Macaca mulatta: one gene and its partners. The protein of the gene in region 2 interacts with the protein of the main gene of each other region in a pairwise test. Links are inferred from orthologs where the notes say so. Each region holds a gene or a part of one and is shown on either strand. Other genes may lie near its edges.

Region 1 (6,370 bases), on a different chromosome or scaffold from region 2:
TTCATTGTTGCATTGCTTATAATGGTGAAAAATGGGCACTCTAAAATGTCCTCAATACATTGCTAAGTAAGAAAAGCTGGATATAAAGTTGTAAATAGTGTGGTCTTGATAATGTTAGGCATATTTGTTCACATGTAGGTATGTGTATAGCAAAGACTTTAAGGAAACATACCATAGCGCTGGTAGTAGTAAACTCTCACTGGCAATATGAGTGATTTTTATTTTCTTATATATTGTTACATTTTAAAACCTTCTAGGTAAACACATGTTATTGCTTAGGTATTATCTTAAAAACAGGAATACTGGGTTTCTAGTTCATGTGGAGGCTTGTACAGTAAAGGCATGGAGGAGAAACCATGATTTTTATACTCAGGTAGAACTGTATTAGATTTGAGGCTCTCCCACTTACAGATGTGTGCCGTTGGGCAGTTTACCTATCTCAATGAGCTTAGTTTCCTTTTATGTAAAATGAGAAAGTAGGATTCTTGTGAGGTTTAGACATAATCAGTCATTAATAAATTAATATTGCTGGTAGTATTCATATAGGTAGTAGTAATAGTAATAATAATAATAGCTAACATTTATTGGGTTCTTACTATGTACCAGACATTATTCTAGTCCAGAAGTTAGGGAATGTTGACTCATTTAATCTTTATAACAGTCAGGGGGGCCCAGCTAGCTCAGTCTGTAAAGCCTGAGACTCTTAATCTTTACAACAATCCAATGAGTGGGGGATTCTGATTATTTCCATTTTACAGTGGAGGAAACTGAATCACCGAAAGATTATGTAACGTGCCCAAGGAGGCATAGTTAGTATGAGAGGAACATAGCTTGTAAGTGGTCTTGTTACTGCTTTCTCCTGAAAGGCTAAAAGTCGCATGACCTTTACAGTATGGCCAAGAAATAATGACTGTGAGCAAGTATTCTCAATTCAGGCCACTGCTCATCTCTCCCTCCTGGAGAAGGATAAAAATTAATTTTCTTTCTATGTAGTTACCAGACTAATGCTTGGTTGTCTTCTTGTTATTCTGACTCCAGGTTTAATTTTCCCCTAAATTCTATTGTCCCTACTTACTTATAACTGTGAAACAAAGATATTATTGTGCTTGACCCCTTACCTTCCTCTGAGTCGTTGGCGATGGCCTCCAGGTTATTATCAGTGATGGACTGGCTTAAACTCAACCGTCTTTTCTTCAGAACCTTCCCATTGGTTGATACTACCACCATGCTCTGCTTGAAGGTCAGCTTGGATGTTTTAGAGATTTCAGAGATACTCAGAGACACAGACTGATCCATGCAGCCTTCATGGAGTGGGCCATAGCTTACATCATAGAAGGATTTCTAGAGGAAGGAAAACAGAAACTGAGAGGCTGTTCGTGGTCAGGGAATGAAAGTCCTTTCAGTAGTGCTGTATTCAACAGATGTAGTGAGGAGGATCTCCATTCTGGTCTTAGGTAACTCATGTTTCATTAGGCTTCCCTCCCTCTCTCCCTTTTGTCTCACCTTCCTTTCTCCTTCCAAGGTAAAAAGATGATTTTTTAGGAAGACTTTTTCATATATTTGCATGCTCAAAAATGAGATGCTGTAACTAAATAGGTTAACAATGATTGTAGTGAGTGGTAGCTTTCCAATTACTTCCCTCTCAGGAGGCTAAAAATCTACTTAACAATGCTCAAAATATTTTAGAAATACTCCTTTGGGGACAGCTTTTAAAGCCAGTACCAAAGACATACCAGGCAGTACTTATACTGTCTATTTGTGGTCTCCAAACACAATGACACAGCTTGGTGAGTGGCTGTAGATTTCTCACTTTCAATTGGCTTGCTTCCTCTCCCCCAGCTTCATGTTTGGAGACTTTCTCTAACCTCTGATGCTGGTGTCAGAGAGGGCAACCACAACACATCATGTTAGGAGACAGACCCCTGGTGAAGCGGTCTGCGGGGCCTGTCTCAGGATGGCATAACTAACATCCTGATGAAGCCTGCCCCAGGAGACTCCAGTTCTCAGGGATTTGGGATAATTCTGCTCTGTTCTGGGAGAAGCCAATGCACATCAACTTTATAAGGCAGCTGGTCTCTCTTACAATGAAAGACAGGTCTCTGGACGTCTAGTGAGGGTAAAACAAAAGCATTTAAGATTCAAGTCATTGCTGTTCTCTTTTGATGAAGAAACTACTGTGTAAGAATAGCAGCCCCATGAGAATTACAGTCATTTGCTTACCTGATTCAGAGACAGATGGTCAATGGAGGAACTGTCTTCTTCATTTTCACTGCCAAATAAGATGATGAGAATGTAATTGTTTGTTATTTCACTTTGGTCTCTGGCCAACGTGTTTTAATGACCACGGTAGTTGTGGGTCACACACATACACACGGCCATTACTGTCATCTTTGAAATTTAAGGACTTCTACACATACACATAGGTAGAGTAATTCATACCTTACTAATATGGAATTAGTAGTCATCAAGAGAGGCTTTGAGCTTTACCTGTGCTTTATCTATAAAAATTAGACCTGGCTAACAAATTAAAGAGCTTTAATTGAAGTTCAGGGAAGAATGTTAAGCTCCTTAAGAGAAAAGAAAGGTTTTGAAGCACTTCATTTTTATTTTAACCAAATAGATTATATGTTACACATTGCTTTCATGTATTCACTAAAACAGATTTCATAATTTATACTTAGTAAAATATCCAGGCAAAATTTTGACAGCCTAGTTTGCATTAGTATTGACTACTGATAATGGAAACATCATGTTAGTTTAATATGTTCTGTAATTTTATCTTTGTGTTCATTTACCTTTCTTCTACATATGAGTGAGATTTGCCTGCGTATCTGCGTTCACATGCCCAGCTTGCTGTGGAGTCATTTCCTATTCCTGAAGGAGACCAAGTTTTCCTGAGAATGGACCAGTAAAACCCATTCTTATATCAGGGTATGTGATCTCAACAGAGGCTGTGTCTGAGTTGATGCTGAAATTCATGTAGGACTCAGCAGACCTCAAAAATAACTTTTCTAAAATGGCGGTCTCCCTGCCAATGTAATCTCAGTTTAACATGCTGAATGCTTAGTCTTTCTGGGTCTTCTCTGAACCTGCTCTGACTTCAGAACTAGTACACATTCCTCCAGCCTCTGCCGGCCTGGCCCCATGCTGGTCACTGTTACGCCTAGCTGGATTCTGGTGAGCCTTGAAACCTTCATTAAATCACAAGAGATAAATCTTATTCCTTACCTGTAACAGTTCTTCAGGTCTTCAAACATGTCCGGAACTTTGGCCATCTTGACTTCTGCAACAGAGAACACCAGCCACGGTCAGCTCAGCCAGCCTCTAACCCGGATACCTGTGAGGGGAGCCCCTCCTCTTTGTGCTTCTTGAAAACTTTGTTGAATGACTTAGTCCACATTCAGCATTTTCTCCATCTGCTAGCTCCTTTGAATTAGTTTGCTATGTACCTGTCTCCTTTATTAGATCGTAAACTTCTTTTAGAATGTTTTATTTATATTGTTATTCCTTATGTGCCCAACCTAATGTATTGCACAGAACAGGCATTCAATCAATGAAAGTTTGAAGAGGTTACAGAAACACCACAAGAATAAGGTGTTTCCCTTACACAGAGGTAAGGGAGAGACAGACTTGGAAATGTTCAATTTTCTCCCAATAATTTTGGGTAGTAGAGATTCCCTCCCATGAGAAGCCTCAGTTGTATTCACCCCATGCCCTCACAGGAAGCTAATTCTGCCATCTCTCAGTAAAACGAATCGGTCCTTATCAGAAAAATGAGAGAATAATTTTCTAAAATCTGACTGTAATTCTAGGTCACATACCAAACCGGGGAGGGACAAGAAAAGAAAGGAGAGGCTGTAGCTTTAGAGAAGGCAATGTGAGAGAAAACAGCCAAAGAGAAAAACAACAACAGAAAATACTTTAATAGCCAGAGATGTGAGGACAATACCTTTGCTGACTCAAACGCCAATGAAATGACTCCCTCTCTGGCTGGCAGCTTAAGCCTGAGTCAGTCTTCTTCGCCTTTTGTAATTGTCTTAAGTAGGCGTGGCTACAAGTACGTCGTCAAAACGGGGAATTTACAGGGAAGAATTCAGTTTTGTATTTTTCTACGTTCATTCAACTTGATACTGGCTAAAATAATGAAAGATGGCATAGCTGATATTATTGTTGTTTGCAGATATTCCAGAAGTTATTGACTTGGTTCCTTTATTCACTGCTTTGCTTTATAAGATGACAAACGTGTAGTCTTAGAAAAAGGGAAGTGCAGGAAACTTATCAAGTTTCTAGGAGGAAGGGAGAAATCCTGAAATCAGAAGCCAAGGGGCTAGATTTGGAGAGGAATTCATGAATAATAATAGTTCTAATAGTAGCTGGAGTTGTGTTCCGGCTGAATCTGTTGGTTGTGCTCCAGGTTGAATGTGAATTGGCAGAATACTTGGCAGCTTCTGGCAACTTTTGAGGGAAAATGAGCCATCTTTTCTGAAGAGGGAAGTTTGCTTGATTAAGGCATAAATCACTTCAGAGTATGGGGTGACAAGCTCCTGGTTAGGTCAGGGTAGAGAAGAGAAAAGTGATATTTGACCACAAAGAAGTCTTGACCCTCTTACTCCTCTGAATATTGTCAACACATTTCCTGGAGAGGGGACAGAGCTTCGGGACAGAACTCTCCACCCTGACCCTGTTACAGTAAAGTAGCCCTCTACCGAGGACCCGAGAGAAGCCTGGTCTTCTGTAGGATACGCCCAAGGTGTGTCTTCTGTAGAAGAAGGTGTGTGAAAGCCCCTAGAGGTATGCCTAAGGCCTCAGCCAGAAGCCAGTGGCTAAGTTTGGGAATGGAGATTGGGAGAAAGGAAGGCATGGATTTTTACATCTGAGACTTCAATGGTGTTGCCTGGTTACTATTATTAAAGAATTTCTCAGCTTTTATAATTCCCGTGGCCAGCCTAGTTCAGGTGGCAGAACACCAGACTCTTAGCAAATGGATGTTCCCAGGTGGAGTTTAAGCCATAAATATTTTAAATAAAGGAAATGAACTAGGTGTGGTGGCATGCCCCTGTAGTGCCAGCTGTTCAGGAGGCTGAGGCAGGACGATCACTTGAGGCTCAGAGTTCGAGTCCAGTGTGGGCAACGTAGTGAAGCCCCCATCTCTAAAAAAAAAATAAACAAACAAACAAACAAAGGAAATGGATGGAAGAACAAGGTAGAAGAGGGAGAGAAAAAAAAAAGAGGCAAGGCACTAAAACATGGTATAGAAAAGCAAAAAAGTGTGGATCTGGGAGGAAAGCGGCTTGTGTGAGTTGGATAAAGTATTCCCTCTGTTCCTGTTTAATTATAAATAATAGGATTGGTTAGATGTCATAAGGTCTATTTCAGGTGCAAAATCTCTTTTTCTGATTTAATGCCAGTCTAATTCTCCTGGTCATGTACCTGGTGCTATAATAGTTATAACAAGAGCCACAGAAATAACCACACTTGGATGTAAGCAATGTAAGTGTAGCACCAGACTAGGGTAGAAGCTTGGGTGTCTAAGGATAAATCCTGAAGGAACAGTGATGTCAGCCAACTGGCTACATTTCTGCTTACCTTGGTTCCTCCTTAGGCAACACAGAAATGTTAATCCTGATTACCCCCTCTCCTCCTGAGAATCTTGTGAGGGCTATTGCTAAGGAACAATTGCAAAGCACATTGTGAATGTGAGCTGCTATGGAGATGCAACTAAACAAAAATAATAACAATGCTAATGATGGCTTCAGTCACTCAAGAACCTGTATAGTCATCATTATAATGCCTTAGTTCACCAAAGAAAATATAGTTCTTATGAAAATATTGGCTCGAAAGCTTCAACAGGGATAACATTTTCAGGTGAAGGCCACCATTGAAAGCCTGAAGATATTTAGCTTCTGGGAGCAATGCATACCATCTCTTTGGTAATCCAGGAAAAAACCCTGGTTCCACCCACATAGGCAATACCCATCCTGGTCCCATCCTCACTCCTCTGTTGTAGAGAATTCCCCAAATGTGGTTGTTGAATTTCTTAAGGAGAACTTGGTTGAGAAGCAGCGAACTTGGGTTAGAATATCACCCAACATTTTCCTTCACATGATTGTCTTGTCAATTGATTTTTAAAGGAAAACTAGGGTGGGTGAGGTTCAGAGAGAGGTGGGTCCTTGCATTGTTTTGGGGAGCCTGCTTTTCTGGGACTGTGAACAAAAGTTACCTCTTCTAGGGAAGGGATAGTGGAACATACTGGGCAGGCCTGTGGTGTGTGTGTGTTGGGAGCCATCCTGTGACAGGGACGTTGGGTGGCTTCAGGCACTCACCTCTCGACTCTGAGGAGGCCTCAAGAAACCCTTAATGAGTCACTGTC
Region 2 (6,196 bases):
TTTTGCACAAGCTGGAGTGCAATGGCATGATCACAGCTCACTGCAACCTCCGCCTCCTGAGTTCCAGCAATTCTCCTACCTCAGCCTCCCAAGAAGCTGGAATGACAAACATGTGCCACCATACCTGGCTAATTTTTGTATTTTTAGTAGGGACAGGGTTTCACCATATTGGTCAGGCTGATCTCGAACTCCAGACTTCACATGATCCATCTGCCTCGGCCTCCCAAAGTGCTGGGATTACAGGCATGAGCCACCACGCCCAGCCACATAACAATTTTTTTAAGGCCAGTAAAGTAAGGAAAATTTACCCGTGTACTTCCTCAGTTACCTCATGAACTCTCCAGTCAGTGATCCACACTTCCACACCCACACCCTTTTTTGGGAATCTGATGTATCCCTTTCTAGAAATTCTAGAAGTTTTCCTGAAATTATTTCTAGTTATCTCCTCAGTAAGAAAAATCATTTTTCTTTTCTTTTTTTTTTTTGAGATGGAGTTTTGCTCTTGTTGCCTACGCTGGAGTGCGATGGCACGGTCTCGGCTCACTGCAACCTCTGCCTCCTGGGTTCAAGTGATTCTACTGCCTCAGCATGGGATTACAGGCACCCGCCACCATGCCCAGCTAATTTCTGTATTTTTAGTAGAGACGGAGTTTCACCACGTTGGCCAGGCTGGTCTTGAACTCCTGACCTCAGGTGATCTGCCTGTCTCAGCCTCCCAAAGTGCTGGGATTACAGGTGTGAGCCACCAAACCTGGCCTCTTTTTTTTCTTTTTTAATTTATTTCTTGCTTGAGAAAGAAAAATCATTTTCTACTCAGGTTTTAGATGTAGAATAAAAAGTTAAGGAATAAGGAGAAGGTAGAGGACCAAGATAATTTCGGAAGTGTTGGATGGTTCTAGAAACTGAAATAGCCTTGACAAAACCAAGACAAATAATTAGCATAAATAAAAGTTTTATTGGTCAGTTTGGGTGAGTGACAAACTGACATGCCCCCAATTCACTATTCCACATATCCAAGCCCCTGAGGTGGCAAGAGGAGAAGCTAAGCTTATTAATGGTGGGCAATGGGTGAAAGGTGGAAAGGACTTTGAAGGCCTCTGAGGGTTAACAAGGCTACCGGGACCGGAACCAACGTCCTAGGAATAAGTCCAGGATGGAGAAGGCATCATCCAGGGCTGGAGGTCTTGGTGATTCTGGATCTAAGGAAGAAAGTCATACACACAAATAGGCTAAATGAAAGAGACCAGGCAGAAGCAAAGGAGAGAAATAATATTCAAGGGTAGAAGAGTAAGAGTTCCCTTCCCCAAGGAATCTTGAGATGAACCCCTTTGTCTTTTAACTTACCACCCCTAGGACTGCTCTCTGCTTCGTGTCGGGTTACTGTAGTCTCTGTCCGGCCCTCACTGTCCACCACAGTCCGGCGCTCCTCCACTATCTACAAGGAGAAGTCCCCACCATATTCCTCACATCACTAACGATAACGCTCAGCAGTTTCTAACGATAACGCTCAGCAGTTTCTTTACAGAGATCCCTGTTTCTTTACAGAGATTCCTGTTTCAGGGCATTCATTCCCTGGCCACAATTTCCTTTACCTCTTTCTTTCAACTCACCCCATCTGGTTTAGTGATCTTGGTTACAGAGATGCTCTTGAAATAGGATTTGGGCTGGGGCTGTAGAACCGGGCCAAGACCCTCCTGGGAAACCTGGGAATCAAGATCTGGAAGAGCAGAGAGATGAAGAAGCAGGAAAGAAAGAGTCCAAGGAAAAAAGAAGACAAGTGTACAGGAAGAAACTTCAGGGAGGGAAAATGGACAGAACTTCAGAAGAATAACAAAAGGCTGATAAACTTCCCCTTCCTCCAGACTTACCATTGTCCTCTCTGGTTCTAGGATGGGGGTCCACAGGCCATATGTCATCAAACTGCAGAAGAAACCATAGTAAGTGAAAAGACATCTTCTAATCTGAAATTTGAAAGGTCATAGACCTCAAACTAATCCTGAGCTCCAAAACCCACTGCCCCGGGGGAGATAATTCCATTCAGAATAGCTTTATTTATACACTCCTTCCTCCTTCCTGGCTGTTTTATGTATCCTTCTACCAGAAAGACTTCCTGAACTGATATATGTCTATACTTTGTGCACAATCCTGCCTTATCCAAGAATTATCTAGACCAGTGGTGGTTTATTGTTTTTTTTTTTTTTTTTAAGAAACAGAACACCCATCTCCCCCCCCCAAAGAAAATCCCACAAGCTTAATAGAGAAAACAGAAAACACTAAATGGAGGGCTTAGGATTCCAGCCCAAGGCTGTCAGATTCAAACAAGAATTGCAATCTTTGGCCAGGCATGTTGGCTCACACCTGTAATTCCAGCACTTTGGGAGGCCAAGGTGGGTGGACCACCTGAGGTCAGGAGCTCGAAAGCAGCCTGGCCAATATGGTGAAACACCGCCTTTACTAAAAATACAAAAATTAGTCGGGCGTTTGGCAGGTGACTGTAATCCCAGCTACTCAGGAGGCTGAGGTAGGAGAATCACTTGAATCTGGGAATTGGAGGTTGCAGTGAGCTGAGATTGTGCCACTACACCACAGCCTGGGTAACAGAGCAAGGCTGGGTCTCAAAAAAAAAAAAGTGCAATCTTTGTACTTTTTTTTTTTTTTTTTTGACATGAGTCTCCACCTCCTGGGTTCAACCAATTCTCCTGCCTCAGCCTCCCGAGTAGCTGGGATTACAGGTGCCCGCCACCACGCCCGGCTAATTTTCTGTATTTTTAGTAGAGACATGGTTTCACCATGTTGACCAGGCTAGTCTCGAACTCCTGACCTCAGGTGATCCACCCTCGGTCTCCCAAAGTGTTGGGATTACAGGCGTTAGCCACCGCGCCTGGCCAGTCTTTGCACTTTATTAGTGGTCTCTCACAAGCTCTCACTTTAGGACCCGATGGGATACTCACACTATGAAATGGTCTCTGGGAGCCCCAGTCTGGTGCTGGTTTGGGGGATTCACTTCTTCCATCACTCTCCAAGACCCCCCCAAAGATCCTGGGCTGGTGACTATCTGGATACTTAAGCATTGAGTCCCGAAGTGTCTGTCCCTCCCGCAGTCTCTCACCAGGTGTCTCTGACTCAGGACCTGGGAGTTCTGCAGAAAGGTGGCAGGTGTTTGCTGGGGTGGGAAAGGACTTGGGCTCTATAAATCTCCCTGAAATCATCAGTCTTCTCACACTTCCCATCCCCCAGCTACTCCCTGCAGGCTCTTTATTTCACCCACCAACCCACTAGAAACCGCAGGTTGTCCCTCAGGGAAAGCCACACACCAGGAGGATGGGAAGGCAAGGTCCAGGCCCCCATATCGCTGAAGATGCTATTGAAATCTCGTACTAGGTCATCAAAGCCGAAGTTATCGTGGAAACGTATCCCTCCTCCTGGGCTGAAGCTGAAGCCGAAGCCAAATTCCTCAGGGGGGTGCTGAGGACTATGGAACCTTGGGTTCCCACGGCCCCATGAACCCCCTTCTTCCTCTTCTTCCTCATCATCATCTTCATCTCGAGTCATCCCTCCAAAAAAGGGATCTCTGTGGCTGAGAGTGGAGGCAGATTGGCCACCAAGATGTCAGCACGATTTAAGCCATAAAATCAACTCATGGGTGGCAAAGTGGGACAAGAGCAAGTGGTCTGGGAAGCTGGGGAGAGGGTCGGAGGACTGGTTGCCGCATCAAAACATTAATACAATGGCTGACAGTTCTTTCTTTCTTTCTTTCTTTTTTTTTTTTTTTTTTTTATCAAAGTCAGACCTCAGCTCGCAGCTCCCTTCTTACACCTTCCCCCAGAGTCCCTCCCCTCTCTCCCAAGGTCCTGCTCACTTGCTCACTGTCCTATTCTCCCGACCCCCATTGTCTTCCCCGCCCGGGTCCCTGTTGCATCACCCCAGGTTGGAGAAAGGCTTAGTTTGCTGTTTCTCCTCTTAACGACCGCCTTGGTTACTGTGGCGGGGTGAGTATTCAATGTTGCGACTTCTGTCCTCTCTACAGGAGTTGAAGGAGTGGGACAGAGGATGTTTTTCCAAAAAATAAGACGTAGGGGTCAAGCTCCCCTCAGACGACCCCCACCCTTGTCCAAGCCGGACCTACTCTCACCTCCGAGGTCCAGGAAAGCCGAAAAAGCCCCGGAAGAGATCAAAGAGGCTCATTCCCGTATTGGGACGCGAACCTTTGAACCCCTCCAGTGGTCCATTCGCAGAAGGGGCAAACCTGCGCAGCCCTGTGGGAAATTGAGCGAGGCGTCAGCCCACGCTACCGGAAAGCAAGCCCGCGATCCTGACACTGTCGTAAACGACTGTAAGCCGGACATGCAAGGGAGGCGGGACGGAAAGTCTTCCTCAAATTTGAAAGGCTTTATCTTTACCCCACCTTTTAGAGACCAGTTTCCGTGACGGGAGTGAGCGTGACGCACTTTCAGTTTCCTATGACCGCCTTCCTCCTAAACCTGTTCTTCTTTCTGGAGACAACTCAGTCCGAAAAGCGATTTCGAGGGTTTGACTCTGGATGGCACCCGCATAAAGCCGCCAGAGGGCAGCCCAGCCGCACAGATGAACCGGCTTGAGGGCATCCCTCAACCTCCCCACCCCCGGGGCTGGCCAGCCTAACAGCAGAAGCCACCTCGCCTCTTACTCGGGCGTTCCTTTTGACTGACCTGGGTGACGTCTGCTGTTAGAGGGATGAACAAATGAACAAAATGCTTTTCCAAGCTCTTTCTAGTATTGAATTCCCCAGAGATCAAGACATGAGACGCATGGACTTAACTTCCTCCACCTCTCTAGCTACTAGGGAGTTTGTTATAACCATATAGGATTCTTTTATCTAAGCAGGCTCTGCAACCAGCAAGACAAAGGATTTGTAAGGGAAGGGAAACTAGTTGTGTCCTGAGAAGGAACAAATTGGGGACGATAAAGAAGTATCCCTTTGGTATCTTTTTTTTTTTGAGACAAATTTTTCTCCCATGTCTCCCAGGCTGGAGTGCAGTGGCACCATCTGGGCTCACTGCAACCTTCGCCTCCCAGGTTCTCTCCTGCCTCAGCCTCCTGAGTAGCTGGGATTACAGTCATATGCCACCCTGCCCGGCTACTTTTGTATTTTTTGTAGAGACGGGGTTTCACCATGTTGACCAGGCTGGTCTCGAACTCCCGACCTCAGGTGATCTGCCCACCTTGGCCTCCCAAAGCGACTGGCTTCATTTTGTGCCTATCCGAAACCTGTCTCTCCCTGTACCCCATCCCCAAGCCAGACTTGGCTCTAGATTCTTTTTCAAAGAATTGGGTATAGCTATGTCACAGAAAAGCACCCAAGAAGCAACTACTACAGTAGTCCATTCCTAGGGGGAATGTGCCCCAAGGTTTTGGTTTTTTTATTTCGTTTTTGGGGTACAGGTGGTGTTTGGTTACATGGATGAGTTCTTTAGTGATTTCTGCGACTTTAGTGCACCCATCACCCGAGCAGTGTACACTGTACCCAGTATGTAGTCTTTTATCCGTCACCCTACTCCAAGATTTAGTTCTGTCAGACGATACATGTTGCCTTCACTTCTTTTTAGTTTATTTACCTGGACCCATTTAAGTCATAACTTAAAACTCTTTAAAGCCATTTTTTTCCTTTGAAATGGTCTCAGCTCCTTCTTGATCCTCTCCATTTTCCACCCAATCTCCTCTATCCCTCTCCCTTTACTGCCTGAAATCGGCTGTAGATGTAGCAGTTTCTGGAGGAAATGAAGATTTGTGGTGGTTCTTTCCAGTCAACAGGTTGTGAAAGTCTTAGGGGTGAAGGGAAGGAAATCCCCTCAAGGACAAGATACTACTACCACATTAAGGTCAGGAGTTCTTAAAGGGCGAAGATTTCATTTTATTCCACTGCCTTCAGGGGCCTGCTAGAGGAGGCCCCGTTGGTACAGTAATACTTATTCACCAAGCTGGTCATCGACGAAATTGAGGATGTCCTAGACGGAGCAAGAATAGGCAGAGGCTGAAGGTAGAGGTTTTCTTTTTATATATACAAGACACATTAATCCATTAAATTTGAGGACACAGTACAAAAAAAAAAAAAAAAAAAAAAAAAAACACTTCAACTAATTCATCTGACAATGCTGTTCATATTCATGACGCCATTTTTTTTTTGTTTGTTGTTGTTGTTTTCCTAATAATAAAGGAG
Region 3 (6,040 bases), on a different chromosome or scaffold from region 2:
AACTTCTGACTGATCTCCCTGCTTTTGCCCTTATCTCCATTGTCTACTCCCCACCCAGCACCCAAAGCAGTCCTATGAAAACATTAACTCAGATCATGTCACTCTTCTGCTCAAAGTAACACTCCTTACAATGGCCTACAAAGCCCAAGGTGCAGTGGCTATTGTTACTCTCTAACTGCATTCCCCATTCGTCTCCCCCTCTTTTCCAGTAGTAAACCCTCTTACTGTTCCTCCAATCTGCCAGGAACATGGCCACTTGCAGTGACTTTGCACTTGCTGTTCTTTCTGCCTGGAATACTGTTCCTCCAGATAGCTGCATGGCCAGTTTCCTCATTCTGTCACTTAACTCCAATGTCACCTTCTCCTGAGCCTTCTCTGGTCCCTCTATCACCCTCTCTAAAATTGCGAGTACTCTCTTATTTTCACTTCATCACTTACCACTATCTAACATAGTATGTTTTGCTTATTTTTCGTCATTTTTTTCTTTCCCATGACAGTAGGAATTTTTGTCTGTTTTGCTTATGGCTATATCACAAACACCTAGCACAGTGCCTAGCACAGTGGGTGATGAGTATTTATTGCTAAATGAATGAATTGGGGGAGATCTGCATCAAGGGAACATATGGAGACAGACCCTAGATTAAATGTCTCATTTGTTTGCTCATGGTAAAACAAAATTTGACCATCTTTTTAATGTTATGTGGTAAAAAAAATTCCATGTCTTTTGTTGTGACATGTCTTAGATCTCTTGTGAGATGTTTTAGATCTCAGGGAAAGCATTCTTCATTATTAAAGCCTGAATTTGGTCACTAGGGGATGAATCCAATCTTATTTTCCAAATGTTATCCTGTACATATGGCAGTTTTGCTAAGTTATATAGAAGGAAGTAGAGTCTATTATTTTAGATAGAAAATTCCCGGTCCCGACTTGCAGTGGTCAAAGTCCTCAAAATTCTAAGATCGTAACACATAACGTCAGGAGGAAATACGTGGCTATTAATCATACTAATGATAATGATGCAATAAAATAATTGTAATATGCTAACACCAAATGTATCTCAAAAAGAGGTACTGGAAATTCCATCTTGCATTCTTCCGTTTTTTCCTGTTATTAGAAAAACGCACTCCCTGATACTCAGTAGAGGATCAACTTATTTCTAGTTAACCAGCATGAACGCTTCCAGCAGAATAGATGGTATGATATAGCACTACCCTGGGGGTCATGGTTAGCATTCCACATTTTTTACGGAACTGAATTCACCAGCCTTGGAAACACTAAGAAGAACACCCGTCTTGGGAGAAGGGAGTCACTGCCTCCATTAGAAATCTTGGGAGGACACAAAAACAACAAAAAAAAAACTGTCGTGGAGAGTGGCTTCACGACTTGCGCATGCGACGAGCTCCCGGTCTCAGCGAGGCAGGGTTCGTCCTTCATCTTCTCAGTCGGCAGGACCTGCTTCTCGCTGAGGATGAGCGAGGACAGCCGCGGCTCGGTGGGACCCGCCCGTTAGCCGAGAGCCCCCGCACCCGAGTCCCGCCCCGGAGCCGCGCCGGGACTGTGGTGGGGGAGGGGCGGCGGTGGCCCGCGCTGCGTCGAGCTTCCCAGAATTCCCAGCGGCCGCGGGGAAAGTTTACGGGATGTAGGCGGCGGCGGCGGTAGTGGTAGCGGTTGCCCGGCGGCCCGCGGCGAACCATGGCCCTGGCCTGGCGTCGCTGGGCTTTTCTCACGGCGTCCCCGAGCAGCGTCGCAGAGCGGGCCGACTTCCGGGAAGGAACTGACCAGCGACTGAGCGGCGGCCGGCGCGCTTAGCGCCCTGAACATGCGGCAGTCCCTGCAGGCAACCCCGGGCTCCGGACAGGCGGCGGCGGAGGCGGCGGCTCAGGAGGGAAGGAGGCGCCGGCGCCGGCGGAGGTGGCGGCGGAGACGGCCGGCGCCCGGCGCGGAGCCCTAGGGAGGCAGCTCAGCGCGGCCTCGGGCCTCGTCGAGAAGGATGCTGTCCCGAAAGAAAACCAAAAACGAAGTGTCCAAGCCGGCCGAGGTGCAGGGGAAGTACGTGAAGAAGGAGACGTCGCCTCTGCTTCGGAGTGAGTGTCAGGCGGGGCGCGCCCACACCTGGCCCAGGCGGCCGGGGGCTGCGGGGACCTGGGCGGGGGCGCCGGCGGGTCCCCAGGGCTTCTCCTTCGTCGCTGGTCGCTGTGAAATACTGGTTTTGAGATTTTCTTGTGCCTGAAGTGGTATTCGTTGATTGAAAGCCCGTAAGACTAAGAAACTTGGGTTAGTCCCCCCGCGCCTAACCGCGCCAAGAGCACCCCCTAAAAATAACAGACTTCCTCACCCCGCCTGGCAGAGAGTTGTTGGTTTTGAGTACTGGAAGAGAGACTAGAAAACACTTAAATTGTTTATAACCTAATGAGTAATTAGACAGGGACACTTTTTACTCTTCTGGGTGCGTCGAGATGTGCCTCATGTTTGCAAACATTGTTGGTGTCTCTCGACCGTGCTGCAAGTTGTGCAAACTCTGGGGCAGAATTCCTTAGTCCTGCTGCCGGATGCAGACTTGAGAAGGTGAAAAGCACACCATAGTTCTTGTGGCTGCCACCCAAAGCACATCCCAGAGCAGAGAGCCAAAAGCCTTTGTATTTGGCTATATTCGTGAGATTCCAAAAAGGCAACTCAAAATTATTTCTATCGTGTTAGAGAAATTCCACCGTCCCCCGCCCCACCCCCGGAAAAGTGTTTTTTTTTTGATAGGGTATATCCCACCCTCAACCCCCACCTCCGATCCCCCGCTACTTTTCTTCTTAATTTAAGTATTTGATTTTTGAGTTGAATCTCTTGGATTTTTAATTATTGTGTGTTCAGGACATTTGTGAGGCATGGAGCTGGTATTTTGGTGCTTATACTGCGCCCCGGGCCCTTTGCGTAAGTTTCCTTCTTGGAAGCTGGTAGTAACCTTGTGACTTAAGTATTACCTCATACTGTAATTGGGAATGCTAGGTTTCTAGTGTTTGCCCAAGATCACACAGATGGGAGAGCATGTTCTCCATTATAACCACATTGTCAGCCTTCCAGATTTATAGTAGTACTTGCAATACTTTCAACAAAATATATGTCAGTTGAGCATGTCAGTAACTGGAAACTTGATTTTTAAGTTTTTTTTTTAAACTTGATTTTCAGTTACACATGCTGTTAGGTTTTTGGCTGTTTTTAAGTGATAGCTTGCTGTTTGCTACAAATAAAGTTTATCAAACATTACTTGAAATCGTGAATCATGTTTGTCACACTTTTTTTATTATTATACTTTAAGTTCTGGGGTACATATGCAGAACATGCAGTTTTATTCATGTTTGTCACAATTAAGCAAATAACTTTTGATATACTTTGTGTTGTTGTCGTTACATCAAGTGTTGAGCCTTATTTATTCGGATATTTGTTTCTGTCCAGTGTTAGTTTCTGAAGCTTATTAATATGAGTGTCTCCAATATTGTTTACTTAATGAATAATAAGAGGGTCTCCATATTCAGGTTTTTTCTTGTTTTAAAGGTATTTGCTTTCTAACTAGAAATGTCTTAAGCTGTTTTCAAGTTTCGTGTTTAAAAGTACAGTATCCTAAAAGCCATTGTTCTATTGTCTACTATTTTGAATTATAATTACATAGTTTCAGGCTTGGTTTTTTTGAGCCAATTCAACATTTGTGTGCCTCTTTGAAATGAGAGCTTTTTATTTTCAATTTTCATACGTAAATTTTTGGCTTTCTAGCTTTTGATTACTGTGCTAGTGCTAGGTAATTCCAAGAGAAGAAAGAGCTACTAATTTTTTAATCTTTAAAGGAATCCACTTTTACATACTTGGGAGTAGCATTAAGTTCTATTTTATTTTTGAAATTGTGTTTGCTTCAAGAAGGATTTTTGGCAGTTTCTAAAATGAAGTGAGAACAACAAAATAAACTACTAGCTTAATTAACTAGAAACTATCAGTTTGTTAGATTGTTTCCTATTATTCATTAATTCATGACCATGTCATTAATGTGTAGTTCACAGATAAGATTATTGGCATTTTATCATATTATGTATGGTAGTATGCAGAATACATTTCATTCTAGCTGAGCTTTTACACATAGCATATTAATGCAAGTTATATAAATTCATTTGATTGGGAAAATATTAACCTTCTTCAGTTTAAAATGCCCAAGTACCATCCTAAACCAAAATTTAAAATTGTGTTTTAAGTTGACATTTGATTTTGGGGTGGTAGATGTAAATGAACAACTTTCGAAAACTTTTGTTACTTACTGATGAAAGGGTAATTTTATCCTTTGTTTTATTATAGATCTTATGCCTTCTTTCATCCGGCATGGTCCAACAATTCCAAGACGAACTGATATCTGTCTTCCAGATTCAAGCCCTAATGCCTTTTCAACTTCTGGAGATGGAGTAGTTTCAAGAAACCAGAGTTTCCTTAGAACTCCAATTCAGAGAACACCTCATGAAATAATGAGAAGAGAAAGCAACAGATTATCTGCACCTTCTTATCTTGCCAGAAGTCTAGCAGATGTCCCTAGGGAGTATGGTTCTTCTCAGTCGTTTGTAACGGAAGTTAGTTTTGCTGTTGAAAATGGAGACTCTGGTTCCCGATATTATTATTCAGACAATTTTTTTGATGGTCAGAGAAAGCGGCCACTTGGAGATCGTGCACATGAAGAGTACAGATATTATGAATACAACCATGATCTCTTCCAAAGAATGCCACAGAATCAGGGGAGGCATGCTTCAGGTAGCTTAACATTATAAATAATATAGTAGTTTATTGACATGTCAATTAAAAAGATGTTCTTTTCTAGATTTTCTTGGGACGCGAACAAATACTACTAGCGAAATTTTTTCCACTTTGCTAGTTCTGCTTAAGCCTGTGTGCAAATAGTTGTTAATCTACACTGAATGGAAGAGTCCTTGTGTCCATTTATTTTATTAACTCCTGTTATATAAACCTGGTACTTATCTCAAGGCTGTCTAGACTCTTAATCCTGTGTGTGACCCTTGAAAACCTAGAGAATTTAATGTCTCCAGTTGGTCTGAATTTAGGTTTAGGTTTGGTAGAATAATGGGAAGGGTGAGTCTTCAGAGACACTTGACAAACTTGGGAAAGGAAAGCAGAATAGGAACAACTGGGCATGCTCAGTGAGACCCTGAGCAACCGCATTACTTCACTAGATCCTGCACTTTTTCTCTGAACAAAAAGTAGTTTAAGAATTATTTCCTGAGTTGATCAGAAAGACTTGTCACATGGTTAATTGTGTGTTGAGCACGTCTTTATTCTTTTTGTAACAGACAAAAAATATTACCATTTAATTTAGGAAAAGAAGGTGCTTTCCGTATCTCCTGACTTGGAAATACTTCTGAAAGGAGCAGAAGAGATTGGAGAAATGTACAGTTCTACTTTATTCCTAAAGTCCTGGTTTTACTAGATAAAATGAAGCGAGATGAAAATTAAACTTTTTTGTCCGATTGTTTTTTTCTACCAAGTTATAGACTTTAAATTTTGGCAGGATAAAAATAAAATGTGAGACAGATTTACTTTTTGGCTCACATAACTTCAAAAGGCGACTTAAAAATGGTTTGGAGCATTAGTATTTTGACTGTAGAAAAAATTTATTCATTTAGTATTAACTGTTTATGTGCCTAGCGTTTTCCTTGGGTCTGTTGGTCTCTGCTTTCTGGTACCTTATTTGTCTGGTACCTTATTTGGAGAAACAAAACCAATTTATACACAATGGTCACAGAACAATTGTTATACTTTGTGATGCTAACTGTAAGTGCAACAGGGAATCAGAAGAGAGATCGGTATAGGCTGGAATACTTAAAGAGATGATTCATGGAAGAGGTAGGACTTGGACTGGGCCTTGAGCTTGGCCTTTAGATTAACATGGGCGAGAAGAAGGACATTTTACGTGGAAAATTGGGAAGAGCACAATGAAAACAGAGTAGGCGTGGTTTAAATCTAAGGAACAGTATAGTTCTGCCTGGTTTGAAGAAATAAGATG

Evidence for each region.
Region 1: the proteins of HAX1 (region 2) and IL1A interact in binary tests that used the Homo sapiens proteins (3 or more experiments, as listed by UniProt). The link is inferred for Macaca mulatta from reciprocal best matches to the Homo sapiens genes HAX1 and IL1A.
Region 3: the proteins of HAX1 (region 2) and SAV1 interact in binary tests that used the Homo sapiens proteins (3 or more experiments, as listed by UniProt). The link is inferred for Macaca mulatta from reciprocal best matches to the Homo sapiens genes HAX1 and SAV1.

What each region holds. Positions count from the first base shown.
Region 1 is NC_133418.1:22,866,314-22,872,683, forward strand, and holds the start of IL1A (interleukin-1 alpha), read right to left. Parts: upstream 4,048-6,370; 5' UTR 3,950-4,047; intron 3,284-3,949; 5' UTR 3,276-3,283; coding exon 3,229-3,275; intron 2,270-3,228; coding exon 2,221-2,269; intron 1,342-2,220; coding exon 1,119-1,341; intron 1-1,118. UniProt on the Homo sapiens protein: Cytokine constitutively present intracellularly in nearly all resting non-hematopoietic cells that plays an important role in inflammation and bridges the innate and adaptive immune systems.
Region 2 is NC_133406.1:112,745,763-112,751,958, forward strand, and holds HAX1 (HCLS1-associated protein X-1), read right to left. Parts: upstream 4,255-6,196; 5' UTR 4,186-4,254; coding exon 4,133-4,185; intron 3,578-4,132; coding exon 3,315-3,577; intron 3,164-3,314; coding exon of another isoform or gene 3,140-3,163; coding exon 2,952-3,139; intron 1,921-2,951; coding exon 1,869-1,920; intron 1,718-1,868; coding exon 1,611-1,717; intron 1,436-1,610; coding exon 1,345-1,435; intron 1,200-1,344; coding exon 1,114-1,199; 3' UTR 954-1,113; downstream 1-953. UniProt on the Homo sapiens protein: Recruits the Arp2/3 complex to the cell cortex and regulates reorganization of the cortical actin cytoskeleton via its interaction with KCNC3 and the Arp2/3 complex. Slows down the rate of inactivation of KCNC3 channels. Promotes GNA13-mediated cell migration.
Region 3 is NC_133412.1:123,898,889-123,904,928, reverse strand, and holds the start of SAV1 (protein salvador homolog 1), read left to right. Parts: upstream 1-1,863; 5' UTR 1,864-1,990; coding exon 1,991-2,084; intron 2,085-4,329; coding exon 4,330-4,773; intron 4,774-6,040. UniProt on the Homo sapiens protein: Regulator of STK3/MST2 and STK4/MST1 in the Hippo signaling pathway which plays a pivotal role in organ size control and tumor suppression by restricting proliferation and promoting apoptosis.